7 linked regions of the Macaca fascicularis genome follow. The main gene of each other region encodes a partner of the protein of the gene in region 3 in a complex. Links are inferred from orthologs where the notes say so. Each region holds a gene or a part of one and is shown on either strand. Other genes may lie near its edges.

Region 1 (3,500 bases), on a different chromosome or scaffold from region 3:
TGGCACAGTGTCAAGTATAGTACCTCCAAGGACCAGGGCTGGGCAGTCTTTAGTGCTAACATCCCCTTTAGAGCTCACACATCTTGCCCTTCCATGAATGACCCCTCAGTTTGGCTTCCCCAGCCTCAAGGTCCACTCAGGCACAAGAGCCACAGTACCCTAGAGAGTGTCACATGACACCATTGTCATCCAAGGATAAAACAGACCAACTAGGCTATATCTGTGATAAGCAGCTAGCAAAGCCACTGGTCTTCTAGGACTAAGACCAGGTGCCTTCCGCAATCTCATGGTCTTTCAGGTCCCTGGTTACTTTTCTCAAAGACCATCTCCAAAAGAAAAGAATACATGCCTTCGCATCACAACCTGTACTGTGAGTCCATTCTAGAGGTCACTGAAAGGCCCTATAAACAGGACTCGGATATGGGACCTGGCCCTGACATTATTACTGGCCATAAAGGCAGACTTAATCCATACAGAAACCAGTGTGTCCATGTGCTCTGCACAAAAACAGACCTGTTGTCCACCAATCCACTGACAAGAGGGTTTCCATGAGAGCCGAAGTGGACTGAAGCTATAGTTTTTAGCTGGTGTGGACCAGAGGCAGGGTCAGATTGGGAAGAGGCAAAGCTGAGGAAGCAGAAGTTGGAGTCTCATGTTGCTCCCTCTTCCCGTGTGGTGCTCTGGGTTCCTGTGGATTGTGAAGGCGATCTCAATAGTGTTTCCCTCCAAACCTGATAGCTGCCTATTCCTGTATGGTTGGGGCTGTGGAGGGTGTAGTTGTATTTATTGTGTTGTAATATTTTTAACATCCTGTGACTTCATGCTAGAAGTTTTCTATTGTTTATAGAAACTTTTTGTAGAAACATTAACTCCAAAGCACATCTGCATGTCAGTAAAAGTCTCAGTTTCATACAGAAAGGGACCCATCTGCCTTTTTCAACCTAGTCTTAAAACCAGTGACATACTCCAGAGTTACTCCATGAGCACCCTGCAAAAGGGGACTGAACAGGAAGAAATGTGACTGATGAACCTGGTCTTTCAAGCTTTCTGAAATGGTGTGCCAGTTAGAAAAGGATTTCTATCCTGACACACCCAGACTAGGCAGCCCATACCATTCTCACAGTGTCTTTCATATGTGGCTGCTGGGCCTGGCCCAAAGGAATTGCTACTGTTCTTTGTTGGAGCTGTCAATAGCGGCATGAACTTCCCTGGTAATCCGGGAGACAGGTGAAATGGTGCATTCACTCTAGCTTGAATGTTTTTCTAGGGGTTTGGCTGTACTCCCAGAAACCACCTTAATTTGCCAATTCTCAGGAGGTGTTTTTTGTTGTTTTTGAGACAGGGTCTCACTGTTACCCAGGCTGGAGTGTACATCTGATGTTCTTAATTGCTAAAGGTCAAACCAGTTCTGAAGTGAGGCCCTGTTTTTCGCAGTGGCTCACACCTGTAATCCCAACACTTTGGGAGGCCCCAAGGCAGACAGATCACTTGAGGTCAGGAGTTTGAGACCAGTCTGACCAATATGGTGAAACCCTCTCTCTACTAAAAATACAAAAAATTACACATAGCCAGGCGTGGTGGTACACACCTGTAGTCCCAGCTACTCAGGAGGCTGAGGCAAGAGAATTGCTTGAACCCAGGAGGAGGAGGTTGCAGTGAGCAGAGATTGCACCATTGCACTCCAGCCTGGGCAACAGAGTGAGACTCTGTCTCAAAAAATATAAAAGTTGTCTCAAAAAGTTTTGTTTGGACATGAGTTTATTTACATCTAAGGCCTTACAAAGGCCTAAAAGTCTCATTTTATGGCACATTTAACAAAATGTATTGATTAAAAATAAAGCTGGAATTGTCCCAGAAAACTCAGGATCCCTAGTCACACTGGGCTCTCTGTACAGCAGTCCTGTAGGGTGGGTCAGTCAGAACCCAAAGCTTCAGCTTGCCTCAGGAACATCCAAGCTCAGTCCATCTGAACCGCATCTAGTTCATCCAAGAAGCGCCGGCACTTCCCCATCAGTACTTTGATGGCTTCACTCACCAGCACATCTGGTGGCAACACCCCCGTTGACTCAACAGAGACTGGGGATCAAAGAGACACTTTAGCCTAGGCGGGGCTTGCCTGTAGAAAGCCCCTGTTACTCAAACTTCACATCTAGACTGGAAGGAAGCTGCAGCACCAAAGAGTACTGCCCACTCATCTCACCACTTCATACTCACAGATATAATGATCTCGAACCCGGGCAAGCCTCACAACCTTCTTTAGCTTCTCATGCCGGAAGATTTCTCTGCTGAAGGTATCCAGCCGGGGGTTGGCAACTCTGGCCACCTTTTTACCTAATGAGAACAAACCACGTTTTTTTATTCTTTTTTCTAATTTGCCCCTTGGTAGCAAACCATGTTATACTTTTAGGAACCCAGGGTTTTTATTTCTGTCACCTTCAAAGAAAATATAATTTAGGTCCTAACCTGAACAGCACCCCAAATACCATACCTTGGACTTCCTGCACCTCAATAACACCAGGTGAGAAGCACCTGCTCAACTCCTCAGCTGCCTCCCCTTCCACGGGCTCAAGCAGGGTGATGTCTGGCAGGAGCCTATAACTGGCTGTTGCCACTGGTGAAAACTTGGCATGATCTTTGCCTGGAGAGGAAGAGAGAAAGTGCCTATACGAAACCCTTCTAGGATTAGGAAGAATACTCTTCCTAAGCTGCTAACAGCAAAAGCACGATGCTCTTGGCTTTCTACCTGCTAGGAATATCTCAGCTGAGTTCCCTAGTCAGCTTGCCCCACTGCAACCAAACTACCCCTCTTCCCAGGAAGGAACACAGGGTTCTCACCAATGCCCTTGACACAGTGCATAAGCAGGTCAATTTCTTGGCCAGGCCGCAGCTGAGCAATGAGGATGTCATCGTGCACTGGTCGGATAGTGCCCTCTGGGAAAAGATCAGCCTGATTCCCCAGGGGGATCCATGTCATATGCCTGGTATACACTGGAGGAAAAACATGTCAAAAGATTTCAGTTCCTAAAACTAGCAGCCACCCACAGGTGGGGCCTCTTCCTCACCCTACCACTACTTACCTTTGTGGTTCACATACAGTTCGTTGGGGTCAGAGGAATCTTTAGCAGCATGGGGGTTCCGAGTGCATCTGACTTGGAGACGAAACCGTAGGGTATCTATCTCTGTGCCGTCTTCATCTCCTGCACAAATGGAGGGAGCTCTTAAGAACTAGTAAACATCTGGCCGGGCGCGGTGGCTCAAGCCTGTAATCCCAGCACTTTGGGAGGCCGAGACGGGCAGATCACGAGGTCAGGAGTTCGAGACCATCCTGGCTAACACCGTGAAACCCCGTCTCTACTAAAAAATACAAAAACTAGCCGGGCGAGGTGGCGGGCGCCTGTAGTCCCGGCTACTCGGGAGGCTGAGGCAGGAGAATGGCGTAAAAACCCGGGAGGCAGAGCTTGCAGTGAGCTGAGATCCGGCCACTGCACTCCAGCCTGGGC
Region 2 (4,131 bases), on a different chromosome or scaffold from region 3:
TGGTGCAATCACAGCTCACTGCAACCTCAAACTCCTGGAACTCCAGGGATGCTCCTGACTCAGCCTCCCAAGTAGCTAGCTAGGACTAATGGCATGCACCACTGTGCTCAGCTTAGCAAAAAACTATGTATCTTTTAAGATAACGTATGGCTCCACAAAGGCTGTATGGTGTATGAGCTCCACAAAGGCTGTATGGTTTGGTTCACTGCTAAGAGTGAGTAAAACAAACACAGCCTACCAGACAGAAACAGGAAGAGGTAGTCTGGAAGAGATGCTAATATGACCCAAAGAATACATTTTTTTCTTGAAGAATGTGTCCCATTATAATATATTCACATTTTGAATTTAAAGTATTTGCAATGCTATTATCAATCTACATTAACTAGATAAACCTGGAAGGTCAGTGAAATCTGGTTTTCCTTCTTTCCCAATTCCTGAAAATCATCTTTACTGTCACTCATTATATAAAATAATTTCTCATAATTCAGATACAATAAATATGATTGAATCCACTCAGTTCTCCAGTAAAAACCCACTTACCTTTGATTTGCAAGTTCCATAGCATCAGATGTCACATGGTCGGTAGAATCTATTCCTGATTTATCCATCAATTGCTTTGTTTTATAACAGTTTTCTGAAATTATGAAATTTAGTAAATGTGACAAAGCTTCCCTAAATATTGACACAGTATCTACTATAATATTCAACATGGTCAGACTATGCCACTGATTTTAGGCAAAATCATTTGCCGGGGTTAACCTTCTTATCCATTTCAGATCAATTTCTTTAAAAAGAAATCCAGAAATTCTATTCACAGGTTCTTTCAGTTTTTACCCTCTAAATGTATTCAATGGAACAAGATTCCAAAAAAGTACTGTCACTTCCAAAAAAAGCATCTTTCAATATAAGTAGAAAATACAGTTTTATCATTAGCCACTTACTAACGTGCAATTACCAATACAGTATTAATGTAAAATTAAAAACCATTTTCCAAGATCAAAGAGGGAATTCCTAAGGCAAAATGTGCCCTATATAAACCAGGAAAAGGATCTCCAATCAACAGACCCTGATCACCTCTCCATTATAATTCCTAGATTCTTCATTCCTAGATTCATTTAAGTAACTGAACTTTGTCATACTGTATCTTTGCCATTATTGGTGGAAACTGACAAGTTCTGAATTCTCAACCTTTTTCAATAAACTATCATAATTCTTTGTGTTTTCATCCCCATGGTAGAGTATACAACATGCCAAAAAAAGAAGAAAAAAAAGATTCCTTCTTGTGAGCTAAAAGAAAAAACAGGTTGGTCTGGGTGGCTCAGGCCTGTGTAACACAGCACTTTGGGAGGTCGAGGCGGGCGGATCGCTCGAGCCCAGGAGCTCAAGACCAACCTGGGCAACGTGGTGAAACTCCGTCTCTACAAAAAATACAAAAATTAGCCGGGCTAGTGGCGCGCGCCTGTGGTCAGGAGGCTGAGGTAGGTGAATACCTGAGCCTGGGAGGTGGAAGTTGTATGTAGTGAGCCTCAGCACACAAGGAGACCCTTGTCTCTACAAAAAATTCTTAAGATACTGGCTAGGTGTGGTGACCCGTGCCTGTGCTCCCAGCCACTCGGGAGGATCGCTTGAGCAGAGGTGGAGGTTGCAGTGAGCCGAGATTGCACCACTGCACCCCAGCCTGGACGACAGAACAAGACCCTGTCTCAGAAAAAAAAAAAAAAAAAAAAAAAAATAGGCATGGCAACAAAAATGAAGGATAACTACTTATTTCACTATTGTACTTGCCTTAGTCAATCTCTTGTCTCATTCTGTAGCTTCTTGGGACCTAACATGAGTCATTGCATATAAATCCTAGGATGAACTAGCAAAACATTTAAAATATAAAACGATAAGGTTACCAAGAGCTCAGATTTGTTAAATGCCCAATGGACCCCTGTGGTAATTTTCTGGTAGTACGTCTTATTAGCTTAAGTACAGGATTCTACGAAGTCATTATATATCGAATGCTCAAAAACGGAATTCAACAAAAATTTGGCCCCATGCATTAATGGTATACCTGTGGTTAATTTTTTTTTAAAGTAGGGATTATCAAAATAAAGCTAGCTCAAGAATCACTTTTTTCTTAGTGTTTAGAAGACACTCCTACTTGGGTGTCGATGCATCCGCTGGAATTCTGCAATTCTTAGAGGCCACGTGGGCAGAAAGCGGCGCTTTACCCGGAGCTAATTCTGTGACCACCAGCGCGTCTCTCCGGGCAGCGCCTAACCTCCAGGAAACCGGCGCTATCAATGGGTACCTCACATATGAAGGTTAAATCATTTAAATTACGTTAAGAAGGTTAAACTTGTCTGCAACACGTTTTAACACCTCCATCTCAAGATATAATGAAGCCCGCCCACACTACAACCACGTTTGTGGGCCTCATACCAGCCGCGTGGCGCGGAGTGGCCTGCAACCGTGATCCCTTCACCCTCTCGGCCCGACTTCCGAGGCTCAATCCTCCGGAACAACGCAGGGGCCGAAACCCCAGATATGCAATGCCTCCCCTGCCCAACAAGCCCAGACGGCCTTGCCCTCTTGGCAACCTACCTAAAACCGCCTCACACCGGCCCCAACCGCGCACTTGCTGCCCGTAACCCAGGCCTCGGGCCAAAACCTGCGACTGGCCTGGTGCGTGAGTCCTGGAGATTTGCACACACCACCCTCCCGATTTCAGTCCTCCAACTCCGGAAAACTAGCCGATGTCCTCCAACCGCGCGGAAGAAAAGGGTGGGATATCCCCGCGGCCCAAGTAATAGTCAGGCAGAAATCTCGCGATACAATTTAGCTCCCGGGAAGAAGGCGAGCGGTGGGAGGAGTCGCGACGCGGGGGCGCCATTTTTCTCGCCGCGCAGGGAGGAGCGACTAACGTGGGCGGAGCTGTAGCTCGCTTACTCTGAGGAGGCGGGGTTGGCGTAGGCGGAGATCGGGATTCTGGTGTTTTGCTTGCGTGACCGATTCGGTAAGTGGAATAGCCAAGAACATTTCGGCAAATAACAAAAAGAAAATGTGCGGCCAATTGTGAGTGGATGAGAACTGCGAGGAAACAGCCTCTCAGCCCGGGTCGTTTCCGGTGGTCTCGCGTTTGCTGAGCTGTCTCCCGGCTTTCTAAACCTGGTCCCGAGTATGTGGTGAGGGTGACGGGTGGGATGTGTGAATGAGTGTTTTGTCATCCTGTGTCTACTTTTGCCTTCAAAACCCTTGTGTGTGAAAATATTCGGGAAGGTTACTCGAAGTTTGTAACCTTTGTGCTGGACGCCAGTGTTATGCCGTAGCACGCCCAGGTCTCCTCCCCACCTTTGCACCTGTTTCGGGAGCTCACCCTTTCTGCCTCCCAGGAATTGGCTAACACGTCACAAGTGAGACCTGTGGAGGATTTCTTTTTCCTCAGTTTCCTCCTACATCCCCCCCGCCCCCCACCATTAGTTCCTTGACCAGTTCCTGAGTTAAGATTAAGCTGTGTAAACTAGTTTAGTTTTGGTGGGGTTTTTTTCTTCGAAAGTTTTTTGTTTTTTTTTTTTGTTTTTCGGTTTTTTGGGGTTTTTTTGAGACCGAGTTTCGCTCTTGTTGCCCAGGCTGGAGTGCAATGGCGCGATCTTGGCTCACCGCAAGCTCCGCTTCCCGGGTTCAAGCGATTCTCCTGCCTCAGCCTCCCAAGTAGCTGAGATTACAGGCATGTGCCACCATGCCCTGCTAATTTTTTTGTACTTTTAGGAGACACGGGGTTTCTCCATGTTGGTCAGGCTGGTCTCGAACTCCTGACCTCAGGTGATCCACCCGCCTCGGCCTCCCAAAGTGCTGGGATTACAGGCGTGAGCCACCGGCCTCCCAAAGAAATTTTTAAAAGGATTGAACTGGTTTGATTTTTCTGGTTTCAAACTTCTGTTTTCATATGATACACCGCAAAAACCAGTAAAGCTGTCTAATCTTATTTTATAGTTTACATCATTTTAGGATAGCGCGTGCCTTAAAAGTAATCTGGTCTCTTTACCCTCCTTTGCTCCATAGATTGGACAATTTCGGGGATAAAAAGTCTGACACTGCATTTGATCCACAGGGGCTGGGCAGTGACTAAGCTCCAGGACTGGTATG
Region 3 (4,047 bases):
AGACTCCTCGAGGAGCCCCAATTTCATGTCAGACCTTCCCTCATAAGGAAGCCATCCCTGACCCCTGTTCCCCAAGCCCCAACTCCACTCTCTTTTTATTTGCTCATCCATTTGCCTCTGCCAGGCCTCATTCCTAGACAGGGTGTTTCCAAGGGGAACTAGGGGGCTGAGGATTCTAAGCAAAGGGCCAGTGTCCCTCCAGAGGCACCAGAAACCCTGGCAGGTCTATCCTCCCCTCTCCCAATCCTACTACGCTGTTTCAGCATCCTTCTGGTTTCATTCCAAGCTCTGATCACATTTTGTAAACACCTTATCCGTTGGATAAAGTTCACTTGTTTATTCTCGCTCAACTCAGCTCTCCGTTCCAGGAAGGAAGGGGTCAACCGACTGATTCAGGCAGCATTTCCAGGGTCTCACATGGCATCTGGCATAGTGGGGGCATCCGTCTAGGGATGGCAGGGTAGCCCACGTGCCCCAGAGGAGGTGGCACAGCCTGTGTCTCAGCAGACTTGTGTGAATGGCACCCCACTCTGTGGCCTTTCAACCGGTATGAATGTGAGACAGGGGACCCAGGAAGGGGTGCCCCTGGAGCTGCCAGGGCCCCTGCCTCCATCCTCACCTCTGAGTTCTGGGGCTGGGTCTCCGGCAGAGTCAGCGCATGTTGCCAGCTGCACGTGAAAGAGAGGTCAGCGATGTCGCTCAGACCAAGGGGTCCAGTCATGAACAACGCGGGGCGGAGGGAGTGGGGGAAGTCCATCCCGGAAATAAGGACCAAGCACCACACTGGCCACCTCGAGAGACTGGAAGCTGGTAAGGGGCGCCAGGGTTCCTGCGGAGAGAAAAGTGCATGATGGGAAGCACATGCTCTTTGAGGAAGCAGGTAACAAAAAACAAATATGTAGCCCAATGCCAAGCAGTAATGAGAACTGCATTAAAGCAAACCACCCGTCCAGGAGAAGGGGATCTGGTAATGGGCTGAGGGCACGGTTTCAGCAAAGCCAGCCAGGAAAAGCCTCGTTGAGAAGGTGGCGTTTGAGCACAGCCTGAACCCAGTGAAGGAGAGAACCACGTACACAAATGGGGAGAGGGTTCCAGGCAAAACGATCAACAACTGGGAAAATCCTAGAGCAGTGAAGTGTGTGAGAAACGAGGCAGCCAGAGTGAGCGAGGTGGAGAGCGGTAGAGATGGAGTCAGATAGACGGCAAGGGGCAGCCTCTCTCACAGCTCAAAACGTCATCATACATTTACAGACTACACCCCCAAGACGCTGGAGTTACTCCACAGCCACGGACTGCATCTCAGCATTGTCTTCCTACTGTCAACCACAGTGCCTCCCAGAAAATGCACTACGGGTTGAATAAAAATAAATTTCTATCACAAGAGGCCGGGCACGGTGGCTCATGCCGGTAATCCTAGCACTTTGGGAGGCCAAGGCGGGTGGATCACCTGAGGTCGGGAGTTCGAGACTGGCCTGACCAACATGGAGTAACCTGGTCTCTACTAAAAATACAAAATTAGCCAGGAGTGGTGACGCATGCCTGTAATCCCAGTTACTCGGGAGGCTGAGGCAGGAGATTTCCTTGAAGCCGGGAGGCGGAAGTTGCAGTGAGCTGAGATCGCGCCATTGCACTGCAGCCTGGGCAACAAGAGCGAAACTCCATCTCGAGAAAAAAAAATTATATCACAAGGCTTTGGTAAATACAGTCCTCTAGAAGTATGAGCAGCCATAGCATCCCTCCTTTTTAATTAACAAAACAAAACAGGGGCAAAAATAACAGCAGCTCTCACTGACCAAGCGCCAGCATCTATCTGCCAGGCGCAAGCTAAATGCTGCACTCTTCTACCGCAGCCCCTGTCACGGAGTTCAGGAAACCAAGGCTCAGCAAGAACTTTAGTTCAACAGCTCTTAGCTGCCACATCCAAGACTTGATTCCCATCCGATTCAGAGGCAGAGCTCTGAACCACTGCTCTCGCATGCACCCAAATGCAAACGCTAGCATTAAGAGTCTCGCGAAACAAAAATCTTTTCCCTTCGGCCGAGTGCGGTGGCTCCCGCCTGTAATCCCCGCACTTGGAGAGGCCAAGGCGGGTGGATCACCTGAGGCCAGAAGTTTGAGACCAGCCCGGCCAATATAGTAAAACCTTGTCTCTACTAAAAATACAAAAATTAGCAGGGCGTGGTGGTGCACACCTGTAATCGCAGCTACTGAGGAGGCTGGGGCACGAGAATCGCTTGAATCTGGGAGGTAGAGGTTGCAGTGAGCTGGGATCATGCCACAGCACTCCAGTCTGGGCGACAGAGCAAGACTCTATCTCAAAAATAAAATAGAAACAAAAATATTTTCTCTTGGAACCGCATAGCCTGAAACGATCCTAGGCAGGCGGAGAGGGCTGGTGGAGCGCACGACCCCACAGAAGCCCTCAGACAAGGCAGCCTCGACATCCCCGGCCGGCTTCCCGCCCTCGCTGCGGGCTCTCCAGGCCCCTTTAGACCTCCCAGGCTACAGGACTCAGTCGGGTCCGCACTAACGACAGGCCGGGGACTGCGAAACGTGAGCCAGCCGCGGGGACGGGGGATTGAGGGAGTCCCTCCCCTCCTACATCTGCGGGTCCACTCCTCTCGAACATGCCCAGTCCGCGCGGAGGGGGCGCATGCACTTACGTGACCCCGGTCTCGTCGTGGTCGTCTGGAAAATGGGCTTCGGCGTGATGCTCGCCGGACCCTGACACCACGAGGGAAATATTAAGCAGAACCCCAGCTTTGGCACTCAGGATGGGTCAGCCCCGCCGCAGCTACTCACGGTCTTCCGGTTTGGACCGGAAGTGCCTGCTGGTGAGGCAGGAAGTCCCACCTCCCAGCCAGGCCTCTTAGGGTCCTGGCGCGCCCCCTCCCGGGAGGAGAGGGAACGGGCGTGCAGGCGGCGCGTGGGCTGCGGAAATAAAGCTCCCTCGAGTTCCAATAGTGGAGGCCGGGTGGACTTAGGTTCGAATCCCACATCTGCTTCATCAATTTCCTCAGCGTTGTATTAAATTAATCATTTAACGAACTCTCACGGAGCACCTACTATAAGCCAGACACTGTATTAGTCAGTAGGTATCCTACTGATTGTCCTTAAATCCCAAGAAGCGGGCTTCACAAATAAGGGTACAAATACCTCCTAAGAGTGAGGCTTTTCCAGGGGTGGTCGTGCAGGGAGAGCTTTAGGCAGTGGTCCTCAAACTCTAGCTAGTGTGCGTCAGCATTAGCACCTGGGGGGCTTGTTAAAACACAGTCTCCAATTCGGTGAGTCTGGGGTGGGGCCTGATAATTTGCCTAAGTTCCCAGGTGATGCTGATACTGCATATCTGGGGCACATGCTGTAAGAACCGCTGTCCAGTCATAAACCTTACCATTATCCTAACATAGTAGTTCTCAAACTTGAGTGAGCCTTAGAACCACCTGGGGGACTTGTTATAAGTATGCTGGGCTCCACCCTACCTCTGCCCCCCGATTTGCTAATTCAGTAGGTCTGGGATGTGGCCCAAGAGTCTGCATTTCTAGCAAGTTCCCAGATGGTGCTGGTCCAGGGGCCATACTTTGAGAACCGTTGCTTCAAATAATCAATTTCCAAATTCTCAGCTGTCATCTGTATCTTTATTTATTTATTTTTTTGAGATGGAGGCTAGAGTGCAGAGGCGTGACCTCGGCTCACTGCAACCTCTGCCTCCTGGGTTCAAGCAATTCTCCTGCCTCAGCTTCCCGAGTGGCTGGGATTACAGGCCTGCAGCACCATGCCCGGCTAATTTTTGTATTTTTAGTAGAGGTGGGGTTTCACCATGTTGGTCAAGCTGCTCGAACTCCTGACCTCAAGTGGTCCGCCTGCCTTGGCCTCCCAAAGTGCTGGGATTACAGGATGAGCCACCGTGCCTGGCCTATATATTTTTTTTCTGGAAGTTTTTACCTGGACTAAAAGTGTCAGCAGGGCTGTGTTCCTTTTGGGAGGTTCTAAGGAAGAGTCCACTGTGTTGCCCTTTCTGGCTTCGGGAAGCTGCCTGTGTTCCTTGGC
Region 4 (3,500 bases), about 65 Mb from region 3:
CCCGTATGTAAGGCTTTTGTCATCTCTTCTGTGTGGTTGCACTTAAAGATCCGTTTGTTTTTGTGGATAGAGAACAGTGTTGTATACTGTTTTGATTCTTTTTGTAGGTTTATCATTTTTTCATTTGCGTTCTGAATCTATTGTATCTGTTAAAGCTGAAGAAAAACCCTTTTAAAGGTAATAGACCTATCTAGAAGGCCAGTTTCTTCCAGTGGCCCATGAAGATATCTTTGGACAAGGATGCTGTTGAAACCCTTCCCCAACCACAAAATTATTGACCATAGGACTTGACTAGGATGCATCAGGGAATACTGAAGTCCACCAGACTGTCTTTCTTTTGGGAGATGTTGGTGAACGTGTCCTGTTTGGCCAGTCACCCTAAGAGGGTGCCTTTGAGATGGTTAGGAGAACCTGCTTTCCATCCCTTGGGACGTCCTTAGGGGCTCACCTGTTCCTAGAAGGTCAGAGCTGCTCTGCCTTGTAATTGGAAGCTTGTCTTCCTACGCACCCATCCATATCCTTCCTTTCTTTGCTTTTCCTCTGTGCCCATGGGTATTATTTAAAGAAACATATGAACTTAGCGTGGTTTGTAATGAAAGGCAGTTGTGTGTTTTTATGTTTTCTGGTTTTTTTATGAAATATGAAGTTGACTTGAATTTTTCTTTTCTCTAGTACTGTAAAATCGTGCCTAGATCTTTTGGTTAACTGGCTGCACATATACCTTAATAACCAGGATTCAGGAACAAAGGCATTCTGCGATGTTGCTCTCCATGGTCCATTTTACTCAGCCTGCCAAGCTGTGTTCTACACCTTTGTTTTCAGACACAAGCAGCTTTTGAGCGGAAACCTGAAAGAAGGTCGGTGTTGTGGGAGTGCGGGACTGGATTTTCCTTGGGTTCTTGTCACCCTTTAGAATGGTGATTCTTTACTTTTTTGAGATTTTTATTAAAAACTCTGGATTCAGAAAACTGCATGTACACTCAAACTTTTAATAATCATTTCAAGCAGCTCATAGGCCCCTGCAAACCCCTTAAGATGGATTTGAGGTTAAGAAAGAGGTTTCTGCTTTTGAAGGTTTAAAATGTGAAGATGTCTGCAGAGGTGAGGCTGAGCCCTGGGCTGTGCCAGCGCCCTGTACAAAGCTTCAGGTGGATGCACCTTCTCTTTGTTGTCCTTGTAACAGCCCAGTAAATGGCAGGTGTTCTCCCTTTACAGACAGCACCAAAGCACAGGGGAGTCATTTTCCCAAGATCACATGGTTATTGGCAGGATTAGAAAACTGAAGGCAGGTTCAGCTGAGCCTAAAGTTTGGGTTTATATAGATTAAACTCTGCCTGAAGCCTTGAGACTTAATTCACCAGTATTGCTTTGCTAATTTCTAATAGTTACTTATAATTCAAATCTGTCAGTTGGAACTTACTAGATTAGTGTATTTTAGTTGAAGAGAGTCTCCAAGAACAGTGTTTATAAGTCATTGTAAATTGTTCTGTTTATGTTTATGAATAATTCACATGGTTTTGTGGGCCACTTCCTCTCAAGCGAGGTCCCTCAACCTCACACGATTGACATTTGGGTGCATCATCCTTCATCGTCGGGGGTTGTCCTCTGCACTGTAGGATGTTTAACAGCCTCTGCCTACTAGCTGCCAACAGCAGTCCCCGACCACCCCCAGCTGTGACAACTAAAACTATCTCCCAAAATTGCCATGTGTCCTCTGCGGCGGACATAGTCTCCTTGGGTTAACAGCCAGAGCTCTAAACTGAAAGTTGTATGTGTTGCATTATATATATTTACCTACATTCTACATGCTTCTGAAAAGATGTTGTATGAACTAGTCGGATGAGGTTTTATCACAAGGTTAGTAAATATAAGCTCTGCTTTTCTTCGTATAAATTAATGCCAGGAATCTGAATTGAAGATCTTGTTTTTGTAAGCTGTGACATCCCATTTAGGTAATTTTTATCAAAATATGCATCAAAGAAACTCCTGAGAAAATACACTTAAGTACAAGTTGGTCAGCTTGCCTGTTAAAATAAATGTGATGTCTTTCTTTTACTCACGTAGGAGAGAATTATATTCATTAAGAAAGTGGTTTCTGTCTAAATTTGCCTTCTGTTGAGGTAGAAGGCACATTTGGAGTTCTCTTGTTTGGAAAAAAAAAAAAACAAAAAAAACTACAAATGACTACTGTGTACCTGAAAACAGCGCTCAGCTTCACTAATGAGACGTGCAAGCTAGAATCAAATTGTTGTTTTGTTTTGTTGCCTGTCATGATCGTTAGCTGAAACCAAATCACAAGGTGTTTTTCCCCTCTGTATTAACTCAGCATATACTGAGCTTACAAACGTGTGAACTTCCAGTTGTCATGGAATCTTACAGCCTGCTACTTCCTGAGTTTTCTTTAGAGAAGCTGCCTTGGTGATCAATGAATGTGGTTAGCCTAGTGATACTCTTCTGGGCCATACACTGTGTGATTATCTGCATGGACCTTTATTTAAAGCATTTCTGCAAATAATTAAGTTTTTTTTTTTAATGTGTGATAATTTGTGCTATTAAAGATATCTTACACTTTTCACTTACATTTGTACCTCTAAAAAAATTTTTTTTTTTAACCAAAGGTTTGCGGTATCTTCAGAGTCTGAATTTTGAGCGGATAGTGATGAGCCAGCTAAATCCCCTGAAGGTTTGCCTGCCCTCAGTGGTTAACTTTTTTGCTGCAATCACAAAGTAAGTTATTTACTTTCTTGATGGGAGTTATTTAAAATATTTTTATTTATGTTTATCTAGTATTGTAAGAGTCTGTTAAATTTCTGTGAAATTAGTAACATTATAAAAGGCCAGGCGTGGTGGCTGACACCTATAATCTCAACATTTTGGGAGGCTGAGGTGGGAGGATTGCTTGAGGCCAGAAGTTAAAGACCAGCCTGAGCAACATCGTGAGACCCTGTCTCTACAAAACATTTTAAAAAATTAGCTGGGTGTGGTGGCCTGTGCCTGTAGTCCCCACTACTCAGGAAACTGAGGTAGGAGGATCACTTGATCCCAGGAGGTCAAGGATGCCGTGAGCCATGATTATACCACTGCACTCCAGTCTGGGCTCCAGAATGAGGCCCTGTCTCTTAAACAAAAACAACCCAGTCCTTGCAGGAAATATTGTAATACAGCTATTGTTTTTGTACTTTAATGGCATTGGAAATTGCTGCTACTTCTTATCCAAAGGGCATAATTCAGCAGAAGCCTAGGCACTTTGAAATAAGTAAGGCAGCCAGTAAGCTGAGAGGGGCAAAGCCATAGATGCTTATTAGAGTGACTCCTGTAATAGTAACAGAAATAAACTGGACGTGAGGCAAATGTTGACCAGTAAGAGATTGGTTTAGAGAGTACTGTTCTCTCAGGTCTGGTAGCTATGGTTAATTCATAGCCTTTCCTCTGTGCCAGGCAGTTCTCAGCACTTTACGTAGAACTCATTTGATCCTCAACCCTGTAGGATGAAACCCTGT
Region 5 (3,500 bases), on a different chromosome or scaffold from region 3:
AATCCCAGCACTTTGGGAGGCCGAGGCAGGCACATCACGAGGTCAGGAGATCGAGACCATCGTGGCTAACATGGTGAAACCCCGTCTCTACTACAAATACAAAAAAATTAGCTGGGCGTGGTGGCGGGTGCCTGTAGTCCCAGCTACTTGGGAGGCTGAGGCAGGAGAATGGCGTGAACCCAGGGGGCGGAGCTTGCAGTGAGCAGAGATCGTGCCACTACACTCCAGCATGGGCAACAGAGCGAGACTCCATCTCAAAAAAAACACAAAAAACAAAAAAAAAATCAAGCAAGATGTTTATCACTATACACTACATACCCAAGTTGCAGAGTAAAGCCGGAATAGATGCCGTATACACAAACTGTGTGACAACCTCACATACGGCAGTTAGGTGGTTCATCAGGCCACAGGGCTCCCCGTCTGGGGTATGCACTGGACAAAGGAAGCCCCAGGACTCTGGCAGCAGCCGGCGTACTGTGGTGGTCCTCATCTTGGCAAAATCAGCCCCTCTGTGCACGCAGCGGAAATGGGAGAGGTAGCGTATGAAGTTCAGCTTGTCAGCCACAACACAAAGTCCAGAATTTTGTAGGAGGCCAAGACCTTAATAAAACAAAAGTCACTCAAAAATGGGCCAATCTTTTAAAAAACGGAAATTTTTGAGGCTTTGTGACGACAAAACCTCAGAGCACTCTACAGATTACAGAATGAATTATTACAACATTTATTCTCCTAGCTCTGATGAGTGGAAAGAGTTCGCAAAAAATATGTAAAATAATCCCCAGATTTCACAAACTGTATGAGCCCCAACTAGTTCCCTATCTCCTCTATGACCTCCTTTGTAGGAGAACATTAAATGAGTTAATAAAATAGCAAGTAGTTAAATTCATCTGAGAGGGTCAGATAATAGACAAGCAAGTAAGAAGGCTAATGAAAGAATCGGCATCAGTAACAGGGGTTTTAAAAAAAAAAAAAAAAAAAGGCTGGGCACAGTGGCTAATGCTATAATCCCAGCACTTCAAGAGGGCGAGGTGGGTAGTTCGCCAGAGCTTAAGAGTTCCAGACCAGCCTTAGCAGCACAGCAAAACCCCATCTCTACAAAAAACACAAAAATTAGCCAGGTGTGGTGGCTTGTGCCTGTAGTCACAGCTACTAGTGGGGCTGAGGTGGGAGGATCACCTGAGCCCGGGAGGTCAAGGCTGCAGTGAGCCATGATTCTGCCACTGCACTCTAGACTGGGTGACACAGTGAGGCCCTGACTCACAAAAAAAGAAAAAAAAAAAATTTCTGGGTTCCCAATTACCACTTTTTAAGTTTCCAGGGTCATTCTCTTTTTTGCTGAGACAGGGTCTCACTCTGTCACCAGGCTGGAGTGCAGTGGTGCAATCACAGCTCACTGCAGCCTTGACCTCCTAGTCAAGCCACCCTCCTACCTTGGCCTCCCAAAGTGCTGGGATTACAGGCATGAGCCACCACACCTGGCCTCTCAGGTCACTCTGAGGCAAGGCAACTGGTTTAGAGATGGGCATGTACAGCAACCCATGCAGAATTCCTATTAGGTAAGCCTTCCTCAGAGGTCTAAGTGGTCTTTTCATTTTCTAGAAGGAGGCAGAGAAAATGTATTTGGTTATTTGAATTAAATTTTAGCTATACAGACACCTTGTCTAAAGTCCTTCAGATCAATAGTCATCAAAGTCATAGTTACGAGAAATTTACTTTTTTGGGGGGGTTTGCTTTTAAAAAGAACCTGTCAAGGACAGGCAAATCTACATTAAGCAAATAGTTTGAAAAACATAACTAAAATGCTCTATTTAATTTTACCTGTTTTAGAACGCAGATTCCCAGTAGCAAAAAGGTATTCAAATGGTTTTGTAAGGTCTATTCCCATAGTAAAAATCCTCATCAAATTGTCAGTGTTCATGGAAACATTGGTCTTCTGAGCCTTCTTATCAAAAGCTATTTTAATAGACACTAACCAACCTTCCAGTTTTTCCTGAAATAAGAAAAACAAAAAATTAATATAAAATAGTATGTGAGCTAGGTGTGGTGGCTCACATCTATAATCCCAGGATTGGGTGGATCGCTTGAGACCAAGAGTTCAACATGAGACTGGGCAAAATGGTGAAACAAAACCCTGTCTCTACAAAAAATTTAAAAATTCGCCAGAAGGGGGTGGGGTGAGGGGTGGGGCATGCCTGTAGTTCCAGCTACTTGGGAGGATGAGGCAGAAGGATCGCTTGAGTCCAGGAGCCTAAGGCTTCAGGGAGCCACGATTGTGCCACTGCACTCCAGCCTGGGAAACAGGGCAAGACCCTATTCTCAATAAAATAAAATTATTACAAACGTCATATTTATTCCCATGTAATCTGTACAACCTTTAACAAAGGTCCACTAACATACACTGGATATGGAATACAGCAAAACCAAAAACCTGAAGGAGAGCTTTTCAGGTGCAGAAAGGATAGCTCTTCAATGTCATGCCCTCCTTCACCCGTTATATTTGTTACACACCTAAAAGCAATCACACGAACTACACAGCCCATACCTGAAAGCAATCACACGAACTACACAGTCCACACCTAAAAGCAATCACACGAACTACACAGCCCATCTTAGTCTATGCTGCCAACACTCACTGAAATGGTTAAGGCAGCCTGCAATTGCAAAATTACAGCTAGACTGGAGGACTGAGTTCTGGTATTCTGCAGCACTGCAGGTTGAATAAGTTAACTATATTTGTTGTATATTTTCTCACTGCAGCCTCAACCTCCTAGGTTCAAGGGATCCTCCCGCCTCAACCTCCTGAGTAGGTGGGACCATAGGTATGTGCCACCATGCTCGGCTAATTTTTAAATTTTTTTTGTAGAGATGGGGGTCTCACTTTGTTGCCTAGGCTGGTCTCAAACTCCTGGGCTCAAGCAATCCTCTTGCCTCGGCTTCCAAAGTGTTGGGATTACAGGCGTGAGCCACCATGCCCAGCCTTATTGTTTATTTTCAAAAAGCTAGAAGAGGGGATTTTGAACGTCCACAACACAAAAAAAGATACATGTTTGAGGTGATGAATGTGTTAACTACTCTGATTTGATCATTATACATTATTTACATACATGGAAATATCACTGCATACCCCATAAATATGTAGTTATTGCATGTCAACTAAAAATAAAAGAAAAAAAGACTATACACCATCAGTGCTTCCTATGGGTGGTTCAGAAACCACTGAAAACACCTAAGAGAATGTTTGAAATACGTTCTCTCCTGTATTTGATATTTGGAAGAAAACCTGGAAGATGTACACAGGTCACTTAATCACGGTATACCTTTTCCAGCAGGCCCCCGAGTCAACACATTAGCCATTGACTCTTGATAACCCAGCTCTTTAAAGTACCAGTGTTTGAACACTCACGCTTGGAAGACCTAACTATTCTTCCAGAAGACAGCACTGGAAGTGCCACATGTCATTTCTGCATATTCTCTGGCACTGACACTGCATTTAATATCAC
Region 6 (2,120 bases), on a different chromosome or scaffold from region 3:
TATTGCTGCCCTGTCCACTTCCACTTACCCTCCCTCCCACTGGAATGTAGAGAGCCAGCTCCTCCAGCTGCTTCCAGAACCACCAAGTCCTCTCCTCCTACTCTCTTCATAGTCATCTCCCATGCCTAAAAGGCTAAAAGCCTCTGTGCACATCTTCCATAAAAATAATGAACATTTCTAGACTATGCAAGCGACTCAATCAAGTCAGCGTGAACTGACTTCCTAAGAGCCTGAAAGTGCTGGAAGGACCCGAGCAGGGCTCCTTGCCAATTCAAAATTCCGCGCCAAATGGGTGGTATCTTCTGGGCCTGGGGTACCCTCAGGAGCCAAAAGTACAACACTCTCTCCCAAACGGAAAACCGCATTGGAGGATAAATGTTGAGAACAGTCAGCCAGGAGACTGAGATAACCCTGAACCCAGATACCAAAAGGCTGGAATAGATCCTACATTGACAAGTGATCAGCTGGCTGTGGGCCAGAAACAGTACACCACAGACAAATTGCAAAAAAATGATTTTACAGTAAATGAACTTTTTACAAAAAGGGGAGGGGCAGTCTGAAAAAGTAAAGTTTAATTTAAAAATCATATACACAAAGCTTCTGATTCATTTGCAGCTTTCCCACTGTCTTTCACAGGCGAGTCAGTTTCCCTTTGAGTGCAGGCCAGTTAAAGATGCCACCACAGTGGACAGTGAGCCAGCCCCTCCTCAACAGGTGAGCAAGACTGGCTGCCACTCAGGCTTGAACAATGCCGATGACCTGAGTGACTAGGCAGCAAGGCTGGCTTCTGGCGAGGTTCAGAAGGCTAGCTTCTTCATCAGGAGATAAACTCTGGAATCCACCTCGAATCCATGCAGGTTGTTGGCATCCCCCTGCAGCCTCATGAGCAGGCCCCCATAGGACACATAGGCAGAGCTGAAACAGAAGGCCCCATCCCATGAGTCTGGAGCACTGCTACTCAGCAGCTCTCCATCTCAGCCTAAGAAAAAGAAGAGGCATCTTTCTACTGTTTTGTCACTAGGAACCAAAATTCTGACAAAGATCAAGATATGTGCAAGGCACTGTTCTTTATATTAGCGAAGGTGGAAAACACCTATATGCCCCAAATCAGGGGAATGGTCAAATGAATCAAGATGTATCCACTTACTGAAATGTTATGCAACTATTAAAACATTTAAGAAAAGCTTCACACTAACATGGGGAAACATATTTTACATAATGTTAAGCAAAAAGAGCAGAAGAAAACATAATAAACACCACAGTCTCAAAGGAAAAAACAGAACACCAGGATATGCAAAAAAGTCTATGTAAAAGGTTATCTCTGGGTATGGAATTACAGGTGACTTTTTTTTTTCCTTCTTCACATTACTCTTCTGCATTTCAAATTGCTTACAAAAAGCACATATTGTTTTAATAAGATTTTAAAGAAAAGAAAAAATAGCTGGACAGGAAAACCAAGGAACTAGGGATTGGGTTACAGAGTAGCAAAACACACACACACACACACACACACACACACACACACACACACACACACACACAGCCTAATAGGATAATCACTTAATGCTGCATTTGTTTCTGGAGAAGCAAGTCTCCTTTGCACTTTACACAGTAAGATAACCAGTTTCTCATCTGGACTGCTGGGCCAGGAGGGCCTGACAAAGAGCAGTCTACCTTTCAGACTGGAAACTGCTCTCAGAACCATTTCTTTCTAGTTCCTACCTAGGTCTGAGGTGCCTGAGGAGAGGGACCCAACAGAGGAAGCAGGAGCATAGCTCAAAGTCTCAGAACACAGAGAGGGAAAAGAACCTCATAAGATTATGTAACTTACAGGCGTGTTGCTGCTTCAGTAGAAGTTTCGTCTCCCTCAATCCTGTACACTTTTCCATACATTACATATTCAAATTGGTCAGCCCTGTGGAGCAATAGCAGCAAAGTTATTCTTAACAGTAATTAACAATATAAAAAATCCCATTTAAAAATGGTTACTGGTCGGCTGGGCGCGGTGTATCAAGCCTGTAATCCCAGCACTTTGGGAGGCTGAGGCGGGCAGATCACGAAGTCAGGAAATCGAGACCATCCTGGCTAACACAGTGAAACCCCATCTCTACTAAAAATAT
Region 7 (4,242 bases), on a different chromosome or scaffold from region 3:
GATTTGCAGCTCAAATTCATACTATCTGTGTGCTCCAAAAAACATGAAGCCAAGAATTTATTTAAAGTAATTCCAGCTTGATAGTGCTTCAAGGCACCTAGAAAAGAAACACAAATGCTGAGAATACAGCACTTACCCAAGGCCTCAAAGAATTCCTACAGTTCAAGTTCTAAAAAACTCAAATTTATTGTCAAAAATTACAAAACAAAGAAAAAAGCACTATGAGAGAGACAGCAGAAACAGACAGCAGCATCAGACACACAAAATCCATGGATATCAGAATTATGAGACATAGAATATAATAACTATATTTAATATTTTATATATTTAAAGACTAGTAAAAGGAACAATTTAAAATATGATTAAGGAACTGAGAATTATTTAAAAATTGAGATTTGAAAAGTAATTAAATAGAACTCAAAATAATAACAATAGTAAAAAATAATAATATTTGAAATAAACTGAAGACAGAACTAGTGACATGGAAGAGGAACCTGAAGAAATTACTCAGAAGGTGGCATAAAGAGAAAAGCGATTGAAAATATGAAAAGAGGGCGAGAGAAATGGAGGACAGAAGAGAGAAATCTCATTCTAGTAACTAATTAGAGGTCCAGAATGTGAGGACTGAGAACATGGGGGAAAGAGAATATTAAAAGAGATGATGGCTGATAATTTTCCAAGGTTGATGAAAAAAAAATCCACTCTAGGCTGGGCGTAGTGGCTCACGCCTGTAATCCCAGCACTTGGGGAGGCCGAGGCGGGTGGATCACGAGGTCAGGAGATCGAGATCATCCTGGCTAACACAGTGAAATCTCGTCTCTACTAAAAAACACAAAAAATTAGCCGGGCGTGGTGGGGGGCACCTGTAGTCCCAGCTATTCAGGAGGCTGAGGCAGGAGAATGGCGTGAACCCGGGAGGCGGAGCTTGCAGTGAGCCGAGAACACACCACTGGACTCCAGCCTGGGAGACAGAGCGAGACTCCGTCTCAAAAAAACAAAACAAAACAAAAAACAACAATGCACTCTCAGTTTCAGAAAGTCCAACAAATCCCAAACAGAATAAAAGAAAATCACATTTTGATATACTATAGTGACTGCAGAACACCAAAGACAAAGATGAGGTCTTAAAAGCATTCAGAAAGCCCATGTTCTCTAAATCATGTGTGACTAATTCTCTCCAAAGTAAAGCTACCTTGACTGCGGTTGAAGACTGCAGTATAAGACGCTGACCACTAAACAATACTTGCTTCTTATGGTTTTTTTTCTTCATTTCCTTTTAAATATCCTAAAAGAAGGTCAGGCAGGGTGGCTCATGCCTGTAATCCCCAGCACTTTGGGATGCTGAGGTGGGTTGATTGAGCTCAGGAGTTCAAGACCAGCCTGGGAAACAGAGAGAAACCCTATCTCTACTAAAAATACAAAAAACAAAACAAAACAAAAAGCCAGGTGTGGTGGCACGTGCCTGTGGTCCCAAAGCTATTTTGGAGGCTGAGGTGGGAGGATTACCTGAGCCCAGGAGGCGGAGGTTGCAGTGAGCCAAGATTGCCTCACTGCACTCCAGGCTAGGTGACAGAGCAACACCCTGTCCATTTAAAAAAAAAAAAAAAAAACAAAACAAAAACCTAAAAGGTTTATTTCACTGGTTACAAAAAGGGTTAAAAAAGTGTAATTTAAAAAAATAAAAACTACAAATCTCCCTCTTACCAGAACTGCACAGAAATAAGGGATGGGACGAAAGGACACAGCCGTTTAGTACAAAAAAATAAATCACTGGATTTGTTTATTAGTTAGCAAACAGACTGAGCAAAGGGAGGGGAAAGGATACCCACTTGCAGTTGGTACAGGTGTAGAAGACAGTTTGCCCTTCATCGGCTGAACGCATCTGTCTGGTGTGGTATGCCATTCCTTCATGACCACATCGAGGGCAGCGCCTGTCAACCTGGGAAGAAACTGGTGGGTTATGGAGGCCTGGTCATATCATACCCTTACTTCCCACAGGAACCAGGCGATCACGCCTCTCAAACATCGATGCTTTACATCTTTTCCCACTTGGAATTGGGCACAAAACTCTCCAGATCTCTGCAATCACTCCTCCATTTCTTTCCTACCCACCTTATGGAGCCAGTTCTTGATCTCATTAACTTACCACAGGTCCCTGGCACTCAGGCCCTTCCTCCACCGACATAGGCATGGCTGTCCCCAGTTGGTGGAACACAACTGAAGTCTTCACAACCTTCCCCTCAAAGTCTGCACAGGCAAGTAAGACTGGTTATGGAGACAACCTGAGGGAGCTGACACCGGAAACTTCCCCTCTCCCCTGGCTGGTTAGGCCAGGAGGCCCTATATCCTTTCCCTCAGTTTTCATCGCTGGACCAAATGTACAACTGCCTGATGTCCTGCTCTAGGATCCCCTTCTGAACCCAACCTATCTTGAGTTCCCCAAGCTTCCGATCCTGGGCCCTCCGCCAGGACCCCTGTGTACAAGCCTCTCACCCCGAACGTTGATGTTGAAGCCACAGCGAGTACAGGTGACCGTATCCTGAGCCCCGGGCAGAGGCAGGACCGAGCCGCAATCTGAACAGAAATCCAAGTCCGACTGAAAGCTGGAGCAAGTACCGGCGAGGTCCATGACAGACATGCAGTCGGGTCTGAGGAGGGAGTTAGAAGTTTATTAACAAAAGAGAGAAGAGTTCCTGCCCCAGAGTTGGTAACTATTCCGTCCCAGGACGTAGGAGTATATAACCCGAGTCCTCCTCCCACGCACGCCTCCTGCCTCTGCGACCAAGGAGCCGAAACGCCCGGAACTCCCAGACAGCGTCGGGTACTAAAAGGACTTGGAACCCTTTCCTGGGGCCGGCGAGAGGAGCTGGCCAACTCCGTGGGCTAGAGCGCCAGCTCTGCGCCCGCGGCGGGGCAGCGAGCTAGAGCCGGCTAGAGCGTCACGCTTTCACGCTGACGATTGGCTGTGACGTCATAATTAATTGCGAACCGTGTCTCGGAAGCCTTAGAGATGGAGAGTCACCTCTTCTAAGGGAGGTTGGGGCTCAACTTTCAGGCTGGTACTGAGACGTTGAGCACAAAATTGGTAACCAATGCTGCGCTTCCAGCAAATTTTCCCACCAGCACCGAATCCTGGGATATTTATTCTCTGTTTCACATCCTACGGGAACCCAATCGCGGGGGAATATCCTCCTGAAAACCGTACTTTGCTGAATAATGACTTCTTTGGATTAGAGAACTACAACTCCCCTGGGTCCTGAGCTGGTATTTCCCTTTTGCGGCTGCACAGTAGTTAAAAACAAAGCTAAGTGTTCTGGCATGTATAGTTCTAGCGTTCCTTGGGTCCCGCTGGCGAGCGTGGGCTTTCTGCAGAGCGCAGCCGGCCTGTGCTTTGCGGACGGTTCACCGCGCTTGGAAAGGGGTGAGTCGGCTTCTTGAGGGACAGCAAGTGGTGAGGGTGAAGGCCAGAGGAATCCTTAGTCCCACGGGACGAAAGGAAGCAGGGATGAAGTGGGACACTTGAGAAGGGGCTCAGGACTTTGGAGGTGGTAGAACAGAAGAGCTTGGGGCTTCCCCTCCTTCGACTCCTGCCAGATAAGTGAGGCTAGCAGTAGTCAAGAAGCTCATTAAGTAGGATTTCATAAGACTTAGGTCGAGTTTGGCTTTTAGTTGTGCCTGCCGCTTATCGAACTCTTAATTCATTATTCGTCATCCATTAAGTGGACAGCTGACATTTCCCTGATCTTTTATAAAACATGGGAATAAGTTTCTTTCGGAAATCTTGCTATTTTCGTTACTCTGTAACTTATATTCGAAGTAGAAACTTTCCCTGAAGGGGCAGCTTGTCGTTGTTTACTAGTTTCATGCTAGTCCTCCCACCACCACCCACTCTGATAGCTGTGCTAAGTTCCTTCATATGAAAGTTCTGGAGCCATCACTATTTTGTCCTGTGAAGGACACAAGCTGTAGTCTTTTCGCTGGGAGAGGCTCCCATCTGCCTTTCTCTGTGATAATGGAGAGAACACCATAGTTAAAGGGTTAAAACTCAGCAAACTGCTGAAGAGTGACAAGCCCTATCACTTAACTGTGAAATTGCTTGTTATTCTGTCTGACAAAGGGAGATGTGTTGTTGAGCTGATTGTCGTAGACAGTTTTTATTCTCACTTATCTGTGTGTCTCCTTTGAAAATGGAACTTGAAATTCTACCCTTCTCAATTTTCTCTTTTTAATTTGAAAAACACT

The links.
Region 1: TAF1C (region 3) and POLR1C share a complex: the UniProt entries of both Homo sapiens proteins name them as parts of the pol I pre-initiation complex. The link is inferred for Macaca fascicularis from reciprocal best matches to the Homo sapiens genes TAF1C and POLR1C.
Region 2: TAF1C (region 3) and TAF1D share a complex: the UniProt entries of both Homo sapiens proteins name them as parts of the transcription factor SL1/TIF-IB complex. The link is inferred for Macaca fascicularis from reciprocal best matches to the Homo sapiens genes TAF1C and TAF1D.
Region 4: TAF1C (region 3) and RRN3 share a complex: the UniProt entries of both Homo sapiens proteins name them as parts of the pol I pre-initiation complex. The link is inferred for Macaca fascicularis from reciprocal best matches to the Homo sapiens genes TAF1C and RRN3.
Region 5: TAF1C (region 3) and POLR1B share a complex: the UniProt entries of both Homo sapiens proteins name them as parts of the pol I pre-initiation complex. The link is inferred for Macaca fascicularis from reciprocal best matches to the Homo sapiens genes TAF1C and POLR1B.
Region 6: TAF1C (region 3) and POLR2H share a complex: the UniProt entries of both Homo sapiens proteins name them as parts of the pol I pre-initiation complex. The link is inferred for Macaca fascicularis from reciprocal best matches to the Homo sapiens genes TAF1C and POLR2H.
Region 7: TAF1C (region 3) and POLR1H share a complex: the UniProt entries of both Homo sapiens proteins name them as parts of the pol I pre-initiation complex. The link is inferred for Macaca fascicularis from reciprocal best matches to the Homo sapiens genes TAF1C and POLR1H.

The regions. Positions count from the first base shown.
Region 1 is NC_088378.1:128,000,112-128,003,611, forward strand, and holds part of POLR1C (DNA-directed RNA polymerases I and III subunit RPAC1), read right to left. Parts: intron 3,198-3,500; coding exon 3,078-3,197; intron 2,989-3,077; coding exon 2,836-2,988; intron 2,639-2,835; coding exon 2,489-2,638; intron 2,332-2,488; coding exon 2,215-2,331; intron 2,077-2,214; coding exon of another isoform or gene 1,958-2,076; exon of another isoform or gene 1,741-1,957; intron 919-1,740; exon of another isoform or gene 1-918. UniProt on the Homo sapiens protein: DNA-dependent RNA polymerase catalyzes the transcription of DNA into RNA using the four ribonucleoside triphosphates as substrates.
Region 2 is NC_088388.1:92,775,366-92,779,496, forward strand, and holds the start of TAF1D (TATA box-binding protein-associated factor RNA polymerase I subunit D), read right to left. Parts: upstream 2,801-4,131; 5' UTR 2,590-2,800; intron 1,862-2,589; exon of another isoform or gene 1,786-1,861; intron 635-1,785; 5' UTR 609-634; coding exon 541-608; intron 1-540. UniProt on the Homo sapiens protein: Component of the transcription factor SL1/TIF-IB complex, which is involved in the assembly of the PIC (preinitiation complex) during RNA polymerase I-dependent transcription.
Region 3 is NC_088394.1:80,062,751-80,066,797, forward strand, and holds the start of TAF1C (TATA box-binding protein-associated factor RNA polymerase I subunit C), read right to left. Parts: upstream 2,801-4,047; 5' UTR 2,664-2,800; intron 2,311-2,663; 5' UTR 2,193-2,310; intron 1,663-2,192; exon of another isoform or gene 1,448-1,662; intron 1,348-1,447; exon of another isoform or gene 1,244-1,347; intron 830-1,243; 5' UTR 758-829; coding exon 620-757; intron 1-619. UniProt on the Homo sapiens protein: Component of the transcription factor SL1/TIF-IB complex, which is involved in the assembly of the PIC (pre-initiation complex) during RNA polymerase I-dependent transcription.
Region 4 is NC_088394.1:15,521,041-15,524,540, forward strand, and holds part of RRN3 (RNA polymerase I-specific transcription initiation factor RRN3), read left to right. Parts: intron 1-672; coding exon 673-857; intron 858-2,618; coding exon 2,619-2,727; intron 2,728-3,500. UniProt on the Homo sapiens protein: Required for efficient transcription initiation by RNA polymerase I (Pol I). Required for the formation of the competent pre-initiation complex (PIC).
Region 5 is NC_088387.1:19,552,894-19,556,393, reverse strand, and holds part of POLR1B (DNA-directed RNA polymerase I subunit RPA2), read right to left. Parts: intron 1,991-3,500; coding exon 1,819-1,990; intron 601-1,818; coding exon 319-600; intron 1-318. UniProt on the Homo sapiens protein: Catalytic core component of RNA polymerase I (Pol I), a DNA-dependent RNA polymerase which synthesizes ribosomal RNA precursors using the four ribonucleoside triphosphates as substrates.
Region 6 is NC_088376.1:96,289,922-96,292,041, reverse strand, and holds the end of POLR2H (DNA-directed RNA polymerases I, II, and III subunit RPABC3), read right to left. Parts: intron 1,916-2,120; coding exon 1,832-1,915; intron 916-1,831; coding exon 798-915; 3' UTR 501-797; downstream 1-500. UniProt on the Homo sapiens protein: DNA-dependent RNA polymerase catalyzes the transcription of DNA into RNA using the four ribonucleoside triphosphates as substrates.
Region 7 is NC_088378.1:142,602,755-142,606,996, forward strand, and holds the start of POLR1H (DNA-directed RNA polymerase I subunit RPA12), read right to left. Parts: upstream 2,801-4,242; 5' UTR 2,774-2,800; exon of another isoform or gene 2,765-2,773; intron 2,649-2,764; 5' UTR 2,639-2,648; coding exon 2,494-2,638; intron 2,248-2,493; coding exon 2,147-2,247; intron 1,940-2,146; coding exon 1,830-1,939; intron 1-1,829. UniProt on the Homo sapiens protein: Core component of RNA polymerase I (Pol I), a DNA-dependent RNA polymerase which synthesizes ribosomal RNA precursors using the four ribonucleoside triphosphates as substrates. Can mediate Pol I proofreading of the nascent RNA transcript.